Linked DNA regions of Macaca fascicularis. The protein of the gene in region 1 interacts with the protein of each later gene in a pairwise test. Links are inferred from orthologs where the notes say so. Each region holds a gene or a part of one and is shown in the gene's direction. Other genes may lie near its edges.

What was found. The genes of interacting proteins can lie anywhere in the genome.
Region 2: the proteins of UBE2K (region 1) and RNF114 interact in binary tests that used the Homo sapiens proteins (3 or more experiments, as listed by UniProt). The link is inferred for Macaca fascicularis from reciprocal best matches to the Homo sapiens genes UBE2K and RNF114.

What each region holds. Positions count from the first base shown.
Region 1 is NC_088379.1:38,999,050-39,004,255, forward strand, and holds the start of UBE2K (ubiquitin-conjugating enzyme E2 K), read left to right. Parts: upstream 1-1,574; 5' UTR 1,575-1,589; coding exon 1,590-1,663; intron 1,664-5,206. UniProt on the Homo sapiens protein: Accepts ubiquitin from the E1 complex and catalyzes its covalent attachment to other proteins. In vitro, in the presence or in the absence of BRCA1-BARD1 E3 ubiquitin-protein ligase complex, catalyzes the synthesis of 'Lys-48'-linked polyubiquitin chains.
Region 2 is NC_088384.1:106,026,640-106,031,373, forward strand, and holds part of RNF114 (E3 ubiquitin-protein ligase RNF114), read left to right. Parts: intron 1-3,136; coding exon 3,137-3,243; intron 3,244-3,890; coding exon 3,891-4,005; intron 4,006-4,734. UniProt on the Homo sapiens protein: E3 ubiquitin-protein ligase that promotes the ubiquitination of various substrates. In turn, participates in the regulation of many biological processes including cell cycle, apoptosis, osteoclastogenesis as well as innate or adaptive immunity.

The sequences.
Region 1 (5,206 bases):
CCATGTTAGCCAGGATGGTCTCGATCTCCTGACCTTGTGATCCGCCCGTCTCGGCCTCCCGAAGTGCTGGGATTACAGGCTTGAGCCACCGCGCCCGGCCCACTTTTTTTTTTTTTTTTGAGACGGAGTCTCCGTCTGTCGCCCATGCTGGAGTACAATGGCGCAATCTTGGCTCGCTGCAACCTCTGCCTCCCGGGTTCAAGCAGTTCTCCTGTCTCAGCCTCCTGAGTAGCTGGGATTACAGGCATGTGCCACCATGCCTGAGGGTTTTTTGTTTTTTTTTTTTGGTATTTTTTGTATTTTTAGTAGAGACGGGTTTCACTATATTAGCCAGGCTGGTCTCGAACTCCTGACCTTGTGATTTTGCCGCCTTGGCCTCCCAAAGTGTTGGGATTACAGGCGTGAGCCACTGCACCTGGGCTTTTTTTTTTTTTTTTTTTTTTTTTTTTTTTTGAGACAGAGTCTCGCTCTGTCGTCCAGGCTGGAGTATGGTGGCACAATCTCAGCTCACCATGGTCTCTGCCTCCCGGGTTCAAGTGACCCTCGTGCCTCAGCCTCCTGAGTAGCTGGTATTACAGGTGCACCCTACCACGCCCAGTTAATGTTTTGTATTGTTAGTAGAGACAGGGTTTTACCATGTTGGCCAGGCTGGTCTTGAACCCCTGACCTCAAGTGATCCAACTGCCTCGGCCTCCCAAAGTGCTGGGATTACAGGCATGAGCCACCACTGCCCAGCCAAGACTATATACTCTTATTTCCCAGTGAATACATTATTGACAGTTTTTGAAAATACTGACTGTAGCCCCAAAAAGCTTAACTGGTTGGAGATACAGGGCAGACAAAGGATAGATAAAAATGGTAGGGGCAAAGAGTAAATGCTATGGGATTCTAAGGGTATCTGTATGAGTGAGATTCCTTTTTGTTGTTGTTTTGTTTTTGAGAAGGAGTCTCGGCTCTGTCACCCAGCCTGGAGTGCAGTGGCTTGATCTTGCTCACTGCAACCTTCGCCTCCCAGGTTCAACCAATGCCTCAGCCTCCGGAATGGCTGGAATCCCGGGATTACAGGCATGCGCCACCCTGCCCAGCTAATTTTTTTTTTTTTTTTTTTTTTTTTTTTGAGACAGAGTCTCGCTCTGTTGCTCAGGCTGGAGTGCAGTGGTGCGCAATCTCAGCTCACTGCAGGCTCCGCCTTCCGGGTTCACGCCATTCTCCTGCCTCAGCCTCCCGAGTAGCTGGGACTACAGGCACCCGCCACCAGGCCCGGCTAATTTGTTGTATTTTTTTAGTAGAGATGGGGTTTCACCATGTTGGCCAGGATGGTCTCGGTCTCCTGACCTCGTGATCAGCCTGCTTTGGCCTCCCAAAGTGCTGAGATTACAGGTGTGAGCCACCGCGCCCGGGCACTACACCCTGCTAATTTTTGTAGTTTTAATAGAGGCAGGGTTTCACTATATTGGCCAGGCTGGTCTCAAACTCCTGACCTCAGATGATCTGCCTGCCTCGGCCTCCCAAAGTGCTGGGCTTACATGGTGAGCCACCATGCCTGGCATGCCTGGACTTTTTTTTTTTTTTTTTTTTTTTTTTTTCAGATGGAATCTCGCTCTGTCACCCTGGCTGGAGTCCAGTTGCATGATCCAAGCTCTCTGCAGCCTCCGCCTCCCAGGTTAAGTGGTTCTCCTGCCTCAGCCTCCCAAGTAGCTGGGACTACAGGCGCACCCCACCATGCCCAACTAATTTTTTATATTGTTAGTAGAGACAGGGTTTTATGATGTCGGCCAGGCTGGTCTCAAACTCCTGACCTCAAGTGATCCACCTGCCTCGCTCTTCCAAAGTGATGAGATTACAAGTGTGAGCCACCATGCCCAGCCAAGACTATGTACTCTTATTTCCCAGTGAATACATTATTGATAGTTACTGAACATGTTGACCACAGCCCCAAAAGGCTTACTGGTTGGAGATACAGGACAGACAAAGGATAGATAAAAATGGGAGGGGCAAAGAGTAAATGCTATGGGATTCTGAGGGTATTTGAATGAGGGAGGTTCTTTTTTGTTTTTGTTTTGTTTTGAGTCAGAGTCTCTGTCGCCCAGCCTGGAGTACAGTGGCTTGATCTTGGCTCACTGCAACCTCCACCTCCTGGCTTCAAGTGATTCTCAGGCCTCAGCCTCCGGAATGGCTGGAATCACAGGCATGCGCCACCACACCTGGCTAATTTTTTGTATTTTTAGTAGAGACTGGATTTCACCATGTGGCCAGGCTGGTCTCACACTCCTGACCTCAAGTGATCTGGCTGTCTTGGCCTCCCAAAGTGCTGGGCTTACACGCATGAGCCACCCGACCTGGAGTTTTTTTGTTTTGTTTTGTTTGAGATGGAAACTCACTCTCACCCAGGCTGGAGTGCGGTGGCGTGATTTTGGCTCACTGCAGCTTCTGCTTCCCAGGTCAGGTAGTTCTACTGCTTGACCCAGTAGCTGGGATTATAGGCACGTGCCACCACACCCAGCTAATTTTCCTATTTTTAGTAGAGATGGGGTTTCTAGCCAGGCTGGTCTCGAACTCCTGACCTCAGGTGATCCGCCTGCCTTGGCTTCTGAAAGTGCTGGGATTACAGGCGTGAGCCATCGTGCCCGGGCTGTATGACTGTATGAGGGGGGTTCTTGAGCTAGGTGCTTTTTGTTGTTGTTGTTGTTGTTGAGACGGGGTCTCCCTCATTCGCCCAGGAGCACAGTCATAGCTCACTGCAGCCTTGACCTCCTGGGTTCTAGCAAGCCTTCCACCTCAGCCTCCCAAGTAGCTGGGTCTACAGGTACGTGCTGCCACACCCAGCTAGTTTTTACTTTTTGTAGAGATGGGGTCTCACTATGTTGCCCAGGCTGGTCTTGAACTCCTGGCTTCACACAGTCCTTCTGCCTCAGCTTCCCAACGTTCTGGGATTATAGGCATGAGCCACCTCACCCAGCCTTCTTGAGCTGAGGAAAGTTAAGACTGACCTCAAATTTCAGGAGACAGTCCCAAAGGAATTGTGGTAATATTGCGATTCTTTTTTTTTTCCCCCCCGAGACAGAGTTTTGCTCTTGTTGCCCAGGCTGGAGTGCAATGGCGCAATCTCGGCTCATTGCAACCTCTGTCTCCTGGGTTCAAGCGATTCTCCTGCCTCAGCCTCCTGAGTAGCTGGGATTACAGGCATGCACCACCAAGCTCAGCTAATTTTGTATTTTTAGTAGAGACCGAGTTTCTCCATGGTGGTCGATCAGGCTGTTCTTGAACTCCCGAACTCAGATGATCTGCCAGCGTTGGCCTCCCAAAGTGTTGGGATTGCAGGTGTGAGCCACCACGCCTGGCTGAAATTCTTAAGTAAATAAACTTTTCTCTAGGCACATGAATTGGAACTATGGAACAAAGAGATTATTGATGCACTTATTCAAGAAACACATTTACATATGTAGAACAGAAAGGTTGCACAGCTCTTATATACTCAAACATAGTTGTAGAGTTAGATCATGTTCTTAACTTTCTTCATAGTTACCTTTTGGGGAGGAAAACCACCCTTTTTCATATTAAAGTAAAACGTGTACATAATAAAGTGTGACTGGCATCCAAATCAAGAAACAGACCCTTCCCAGTACCATAGGAATCCTCCTTCCTTTCTAGTTACTTTCCTGACTTCTAATAACAGATTAGTTTTGAGTATGTTTGAGTAAAAGAACAGATGTGAGTATATGTTACGTATTTTAAGTTGGAAAGTTTTCAAAAGATGCTGTTCAAAATCTGTTAAGAAAAATATAGTGTCTTAGAAAATGTACTAAAATGTATTGAATTTCAGTGCTGAAATAGATCTAGGCCAAACTCCTCATCTATAAAATCAGGAAACTGAGGCCCAAGGAGGTTGATTGTTCCTCAGAGAAACAGCTGGTTAATGGTTGAACCCAGGCTTTTTGCATACCAGTTTAGTCATAATAAGTAGTTGGTTTGTGGGAATATCCTTTTCATAAACGATAGTGTAAAAGCTGACTGCTAATACAACTTTACAGAAGGAGATAACAATGCAGTATTATTTAAATGTGTCTTTTCTTTTCCCCCTCTTAGTATGAGAACTTAAACTTGCCAAGGAGGTAGAGATTTTTAACTCCTGAAGCATAATTTAGTGAAGTTAGCTTAGTAATTAAGAGCATGGGCTTTATAATTAGATTTGCTTTGAGTCCTGGCTTTTCTTCTTAAAACCTGAAGTACTGGCTCTGTATCTCGATTATCTTTATCTGTAAAAACTGTGGGAAGATTAAGAGTGTCTTTACAGTGCTTAGAATAACCTTGGGACATAATTAAACAGATAGCTGTTAGATGTCAGAAGTAGCTATGTTTTCATATTCTGTTGTGCTTATTGTTCTTGAATTATAAAGGTATTGTTCAATGGTTTAGTGATTACTGGATGTAAATATGCCTCAAGAAAAGCTCAATATGAGGGCTATGGTACTTCTAATAGTGTTTCTTTGTCACCTGTGTGCAAATAATCCATGGGGCTGGTAGCCAAGTAGTCCACCCTTATCTGCAGTTTCATTCTCTGCAGTTTCAGTTACCCACTGTCAACCATCGTCCAAAAATAAGTGAGTATAGTACAATAAGGTATTTGAGAGAGCACATTCACATAATTTTTATTACAGTATATTGTTATAATTACTCTATTCTATTATTGTTAATCTCTTACTGTGTTTAATTTATAAATTAAACCTTATCATAGGTATGTACATATAGGAAAAAACGTATAGGGTCAGTACTATCCGTGGTTTCAAGCATCCAATAGGGATCTTGGAGTGTGTCCCCTGTGGATAAGAGGGGATATATTAATACAGAGGAATATATGTGGGCTCTGTTCTCCAGATGTGATTTATTTAATCTTTCTTTAGGAGACAGTTATAAATTGGAGAAAAGTTTGTGTTAAAATGTTACCTTCCTGAATGAAAAAGTTTATTTGGGAAACTCTCAAATGATATAGAGATAATGGGATTATTTTGGATTTCTTGACATGGCTCTGGTTTCCTGAAACTAGAGCAAAGAATCTAGATTCTAATCCTATGGTATATAATCTTGGATCCCTTTGCAAATCTCTTCTTCAGTGGGCTTTGGGAACCAGAAAATAAGTGGTCTCATTCATCTGACATCCATGTTATTCTCTTATGTAAATCTGAAAAGGTGGGAGAACTTTATTTCA
Region 2 (4,734 bases), on another chromosome or scaffold:
ATCATGCCACTGCACTCCAGCCTGGCTGACAGCAAGACCCTGTCTCTTAAAAAAAAGTCAATATGAAATCATTGGATTATAGTAACAATAGCTAACATTTGAAATGCTCTTGTATAATCAGAGTCAAGTATATTTATTTTCATACGTGTTATAACTGCTACTGGAAAGGAGAAATACTGTTGTCTTATTTTCCAAGAGATATTCACAGCCTTGTTGATTTTAGAATCATTAAAATTTTTTAAATTGCAGACCATACAAAAATACACAATAATGTAGGCTTGTTCCTCATTCCAGAGATTATTTTAAAATGGTTCAATTTAAGGCCTGGCAAGGTAGTTCATGCCTGTAATCCCAACATTTTGGGAGGCCGAGGTGGGTGGATTGCTTGAGTCCAGGAGTTCTGGACCAACCTGGATAACATGGTGAAACCTCAGCTCTACTGAAAATACAAAAAACTAGCAGGGCATGGTGGTGTGTGCCTGTAGTCTCAGCTATTCGGGAGGCTCAGGTGAGAGGATGGCTTGAGCCCAGGGGGCAGACATTGCAGTGAGCTGAGTTCTCACCACTGCACTCCAACCTGGGCGATAGAGCTGGACTTTTTTTTGTCTCAAGAAAAAAAAAGTGATTCAGTTTCGAAAGCTACATAACATTTTCTGCCCTTTGACAAATTTTTACCAAAAGTTGGTAAAAACTGTAGAATGTTTACCAACCCAGTTGTAGAATTTTTGCAAAATGAGATCACACTATAATATATATGTTTCTTCAACTTTTTTCACTTGTTTAAATGTACATTCATTCCCAACTTTTTTTTCACTTTCAGTTTTTTTTTCCTCTTACATATTGGACAGCCTTGCATGTCAGTTTCATTATTTTTAACACTTCGGTATGGATGCCCATAGTATGAATATACCTTACCATCTCCTTTTCAGGGTGATTTAGTATTAGCGATGCATAGTAGGACCATTTTAATGCTGAATAGGGCTATTTTCTATATCTTAATTGGGGGCTTCACTATTGAGGCTGGGCATGGTGGCTTATGCCTGTAATCCTATCACTTGGAGAGGCCAAGGTAAGAGAATCACTTGAGCCCAGGAGTTCGAAATCAGTCTGGGCAGCATAGTGGGACACTGTATATACCAAAACAAGCCAACAAACAAAACTAGCTGTGTGTAGTGGTGTCTGCATGTAGTCCCAGCTCCTTGGGAGGCTGAGGTGGGAAGATTGCTTGAGCCCAGGAGTTTGAGAGCAGCCTGGGGAATATAGTGGACCCAGTTTCTACAAAAAAAAAATTGGGGATTTCTCAGTTTGTAGCTTAAAGTCAAGTTCTTTAACTGGAGGTGAGACAATCATCATGGTAAGCTGGAGCTCCAATCTTGGAGCATTTTTCCCCCTTTGAAGTTTACTTTTAGAAACTCAAGATACTGAATTACAGTTTCCTACTGCCTTTTTTTTTTTTTTTTTTTTTTTGAGACGGAGTCTCACTCTGTCGCCCAGGCTGGAGTGCAGTGGCATGATCTCGGCTCACTGCAAACTCCGCCTGTTGGGTTCACACCATTCTCCTGCCTCAGCCTCTGGAGTAGCTGGGACTACAGGTGCCTGCCACCACGCGCAGATATATATATATGTATACATATATATGTATATATCTCTTGTTTTGTTTTGTTTTGTATTTTTAGTAGAGGCAGGGTTTCACCGTGTTAGCCAGGATGGTCTCGATCTCCTGACCTTGTGATCCGCCCACCTCGGCCTCCCAAAGTGCTGGGATTACAGGTGTCAGCCACTGCACCCGGTCTCTTCATCTTTATTTATGCATGCATAATGTGGTTTTTGGTTTGGTTTTGTTTTGTTTTTTGAGACGGAGTCTGACTTTGTTGCCCGGGCTGGAGTGCAATGGTGTGGTCTCGGCTCACTGCAACCTCTGCCTCCCTGGCTCAAACCATCCTCCCACCTCAGCCTCTCAAGTAGCTGGCACCACAGGCATGTGTCACCACGCCCACCTAATTTTTTTTGTATTTTTAGTAGAGACAGAGTTTTCATGTTGCCCATGCTGATCTGAAACTTGGGAGTGCAAAGTGATGGTCCACCTCAGCCTCCCTCAGGATTACAGGTGTGAGCCACCACGCTCCACCCATGATGGGCTTTTTGTTTGTTTTACTGTGTGCTTTTGCTTTTCTCCATTTTCAAGATTAGTTATTGTATGGTTGGCATGCCTCTAAAAATGTTTTTCTTTCCTCCCTCTTTTCTTCAATTCTTAAAACTTTCTTTCTTTTTAGAAAACCTGTAATGAAGCATTATTCTCTGGGTTTTCTTCTCTTTCTGTTTTACTATTGCACAGCCTAGATTTTATGTGAAAGGTTGGGCTGGGCATGGTAGCTCACACCTGTTAGCCCAGCACTTTGGGAGGCCAAGGCAGGCATATCACTTGAGGTCAGGAGTTCGAGACCATCCTGGCTAACACGGTGAAACTCCATCTCTACTAAAAATATGGAAATTAGCTGGGCATGATGGCACACGCCTGTAACCCCAGCTACTCAGGAGGCTGAGGTGGGAGAATCACTTGAACCCGGGAGGCGGAGGTTGCAGTGAGCCAAGATGGTGCCACTGCACTTCAGTCTGGACAACAGAGTGAGTGAGACTCCGTCTCAAAAAAAAAAAAGAATTTAGATTTTAAAGATTATTTCTCAGAGTCTGGTGATTGATACTTTAATCAGGGTTGGTGGCTTTTATACGTTTTACCTAAATGATCACTTTTCTCTGCTGCACATAACAGAACGTGGTTTTTGGTTTGCTATAAGGAGACTAGTTTAAATGCTACTATAGAAAACTTTTAACAACATCCTAGATTTGGAACTTGTCTGTGAGCACACAGCCTGTCATGAATAGGAGCAAACCTCTAGAAGAGTTATTTTAGAGTGGAAGCGGATATCCTGATTTAGTCAAATAAAATAGCAGCCTTGTTATTAATGGGAAATCTGCAATAATCAGGGTTTCAGCCCCATCAGCATAGTCAGGAGTCTGGTGAGATTATTTGCCAGGGTGGTGTAGGTCTAGTTTTCTTTGCGCCCTTGTTTGGGACTACATTTGGCCTGTTACAAGGTCCTCACTAACTTGTGGGCTCTGATTCTTCCTATTTGAGTTCTTCCTATCCAAGATCCGGTCCCACGTGGCTACTTGTTCCAAATACCAGAATTACATCATGGAAGGTGTGAAGGCCACCATTAAGGATGCATCTCTTCAGCCAAGGTAAATGACTCAGTCTCCCCTTAGGTGGAGGTCATCTCTTGCTATTAATACAAAGAGGTTGGACACCTTGCATGGTCAGGGGTTTAGTTGTATGAATTGTTATGCTGGCTAAAGCTGATACAAGTATTTTGGGAGGAGTATGCAAGGGAGGACTCTGGTGTTCACTTCAGATGTTAGCTGAGCTATTCTTTTTTTCTTTTTTGAGATGGAGTCTCGCTCTGTTGTCTGGGCTGGAGTGCAGTCGCGCAATCTCAGCTCACTGCAATCTCTGCCTCCCGGGTTCAAGAGATTCTCCTGCCTCAGTCTCCCGAGTAGCTGGGATTACAGGCACCTGCCAGTAATCCTGACTAAATTTTATATTTTTTAGTAGAGACAGGGTTTCGCCATGTTGGCCAGGCTAGTCTTGAACTCCTGACCTCAGGTGATCCTCCTGCCTTGGCCTATTGGGATTACAGGTGTGAATCACCATGTCCGGCTAGCTGAGCTGTTGTCTTCAGAACACTTGATCTGAGTCTAAAGTGATCATCAGCGTCCTTGTCGTTACACATTCGGTGAGCTTTGCTCCTTTTGGGAGTGTACTGTGGTTGAAGTTTAATGGAAAGGTACTCACAGAAAAATGTTCTTTTTTCCTGTCTTTCACCTTCCAGGAATGTTCCAAACCGTTACACCTTTCCTTGTCCTTACTGTCCTGAGAAGAACTTTGATCAGGAAGGACTTGTGGAACACTGCAAATTATTCCATAGCACGGATACCAAATCTGTGGTAAGAGTAACCTTTTTTTTTTTCTCTTAAACTTTATTATGGGAAAGGATCAAGCTTGGAGAAAAATGATGGGATTAGTAAAATGAACTCCTGTGTGCCCTACACCTAGATTCACAGATTGTTAACATTTTACCATATTTGCTTAACCATGCTCTATAATACACACTTTTTGCTGACCACTTGGGAATAAGCTACAGATACCATGACTTTTTTGCACCCTGAATAGTTTGCACCCTGATACAGTAGTGTGTATGTCTTAAGAACAAGAGTGTTTTCCTGGAAAATTATATTTTTGTGTGTATAATCATATTCAAGAAATTTAACATTGATACAATCTAATATCTAACATAAAATTCATGTTTTAATTTTAACAATGGTAATGTCCTTCATAGCAATTTTCCCCTCCCCCCAAAGCAGAGGCAGGGATGGTACATGAGTTCTCTGGGTGCTACATTAAGTCATGTGATGTCTATTGTTGCTAACATTAACTTGGATCCCTTGGTATCCACCAAATTTCTCCATGAAGCTTTTGGAAGTAACTTCTTCGTATTTGTGGGGAAAGAGGATTTAGGTGAAATTATTAGGAAAAGGCTTATCAATCCTTGGACATTTTACTCAGATATCACTGACTGGCATGTGTAGTCTCCTTTTAAAAAAAAAAAAAAAAAACATAGGCCGGGCACGGTGGCTCACACTTGTAATCCCAGCACTTTGGGAGGCCAAGGCGGG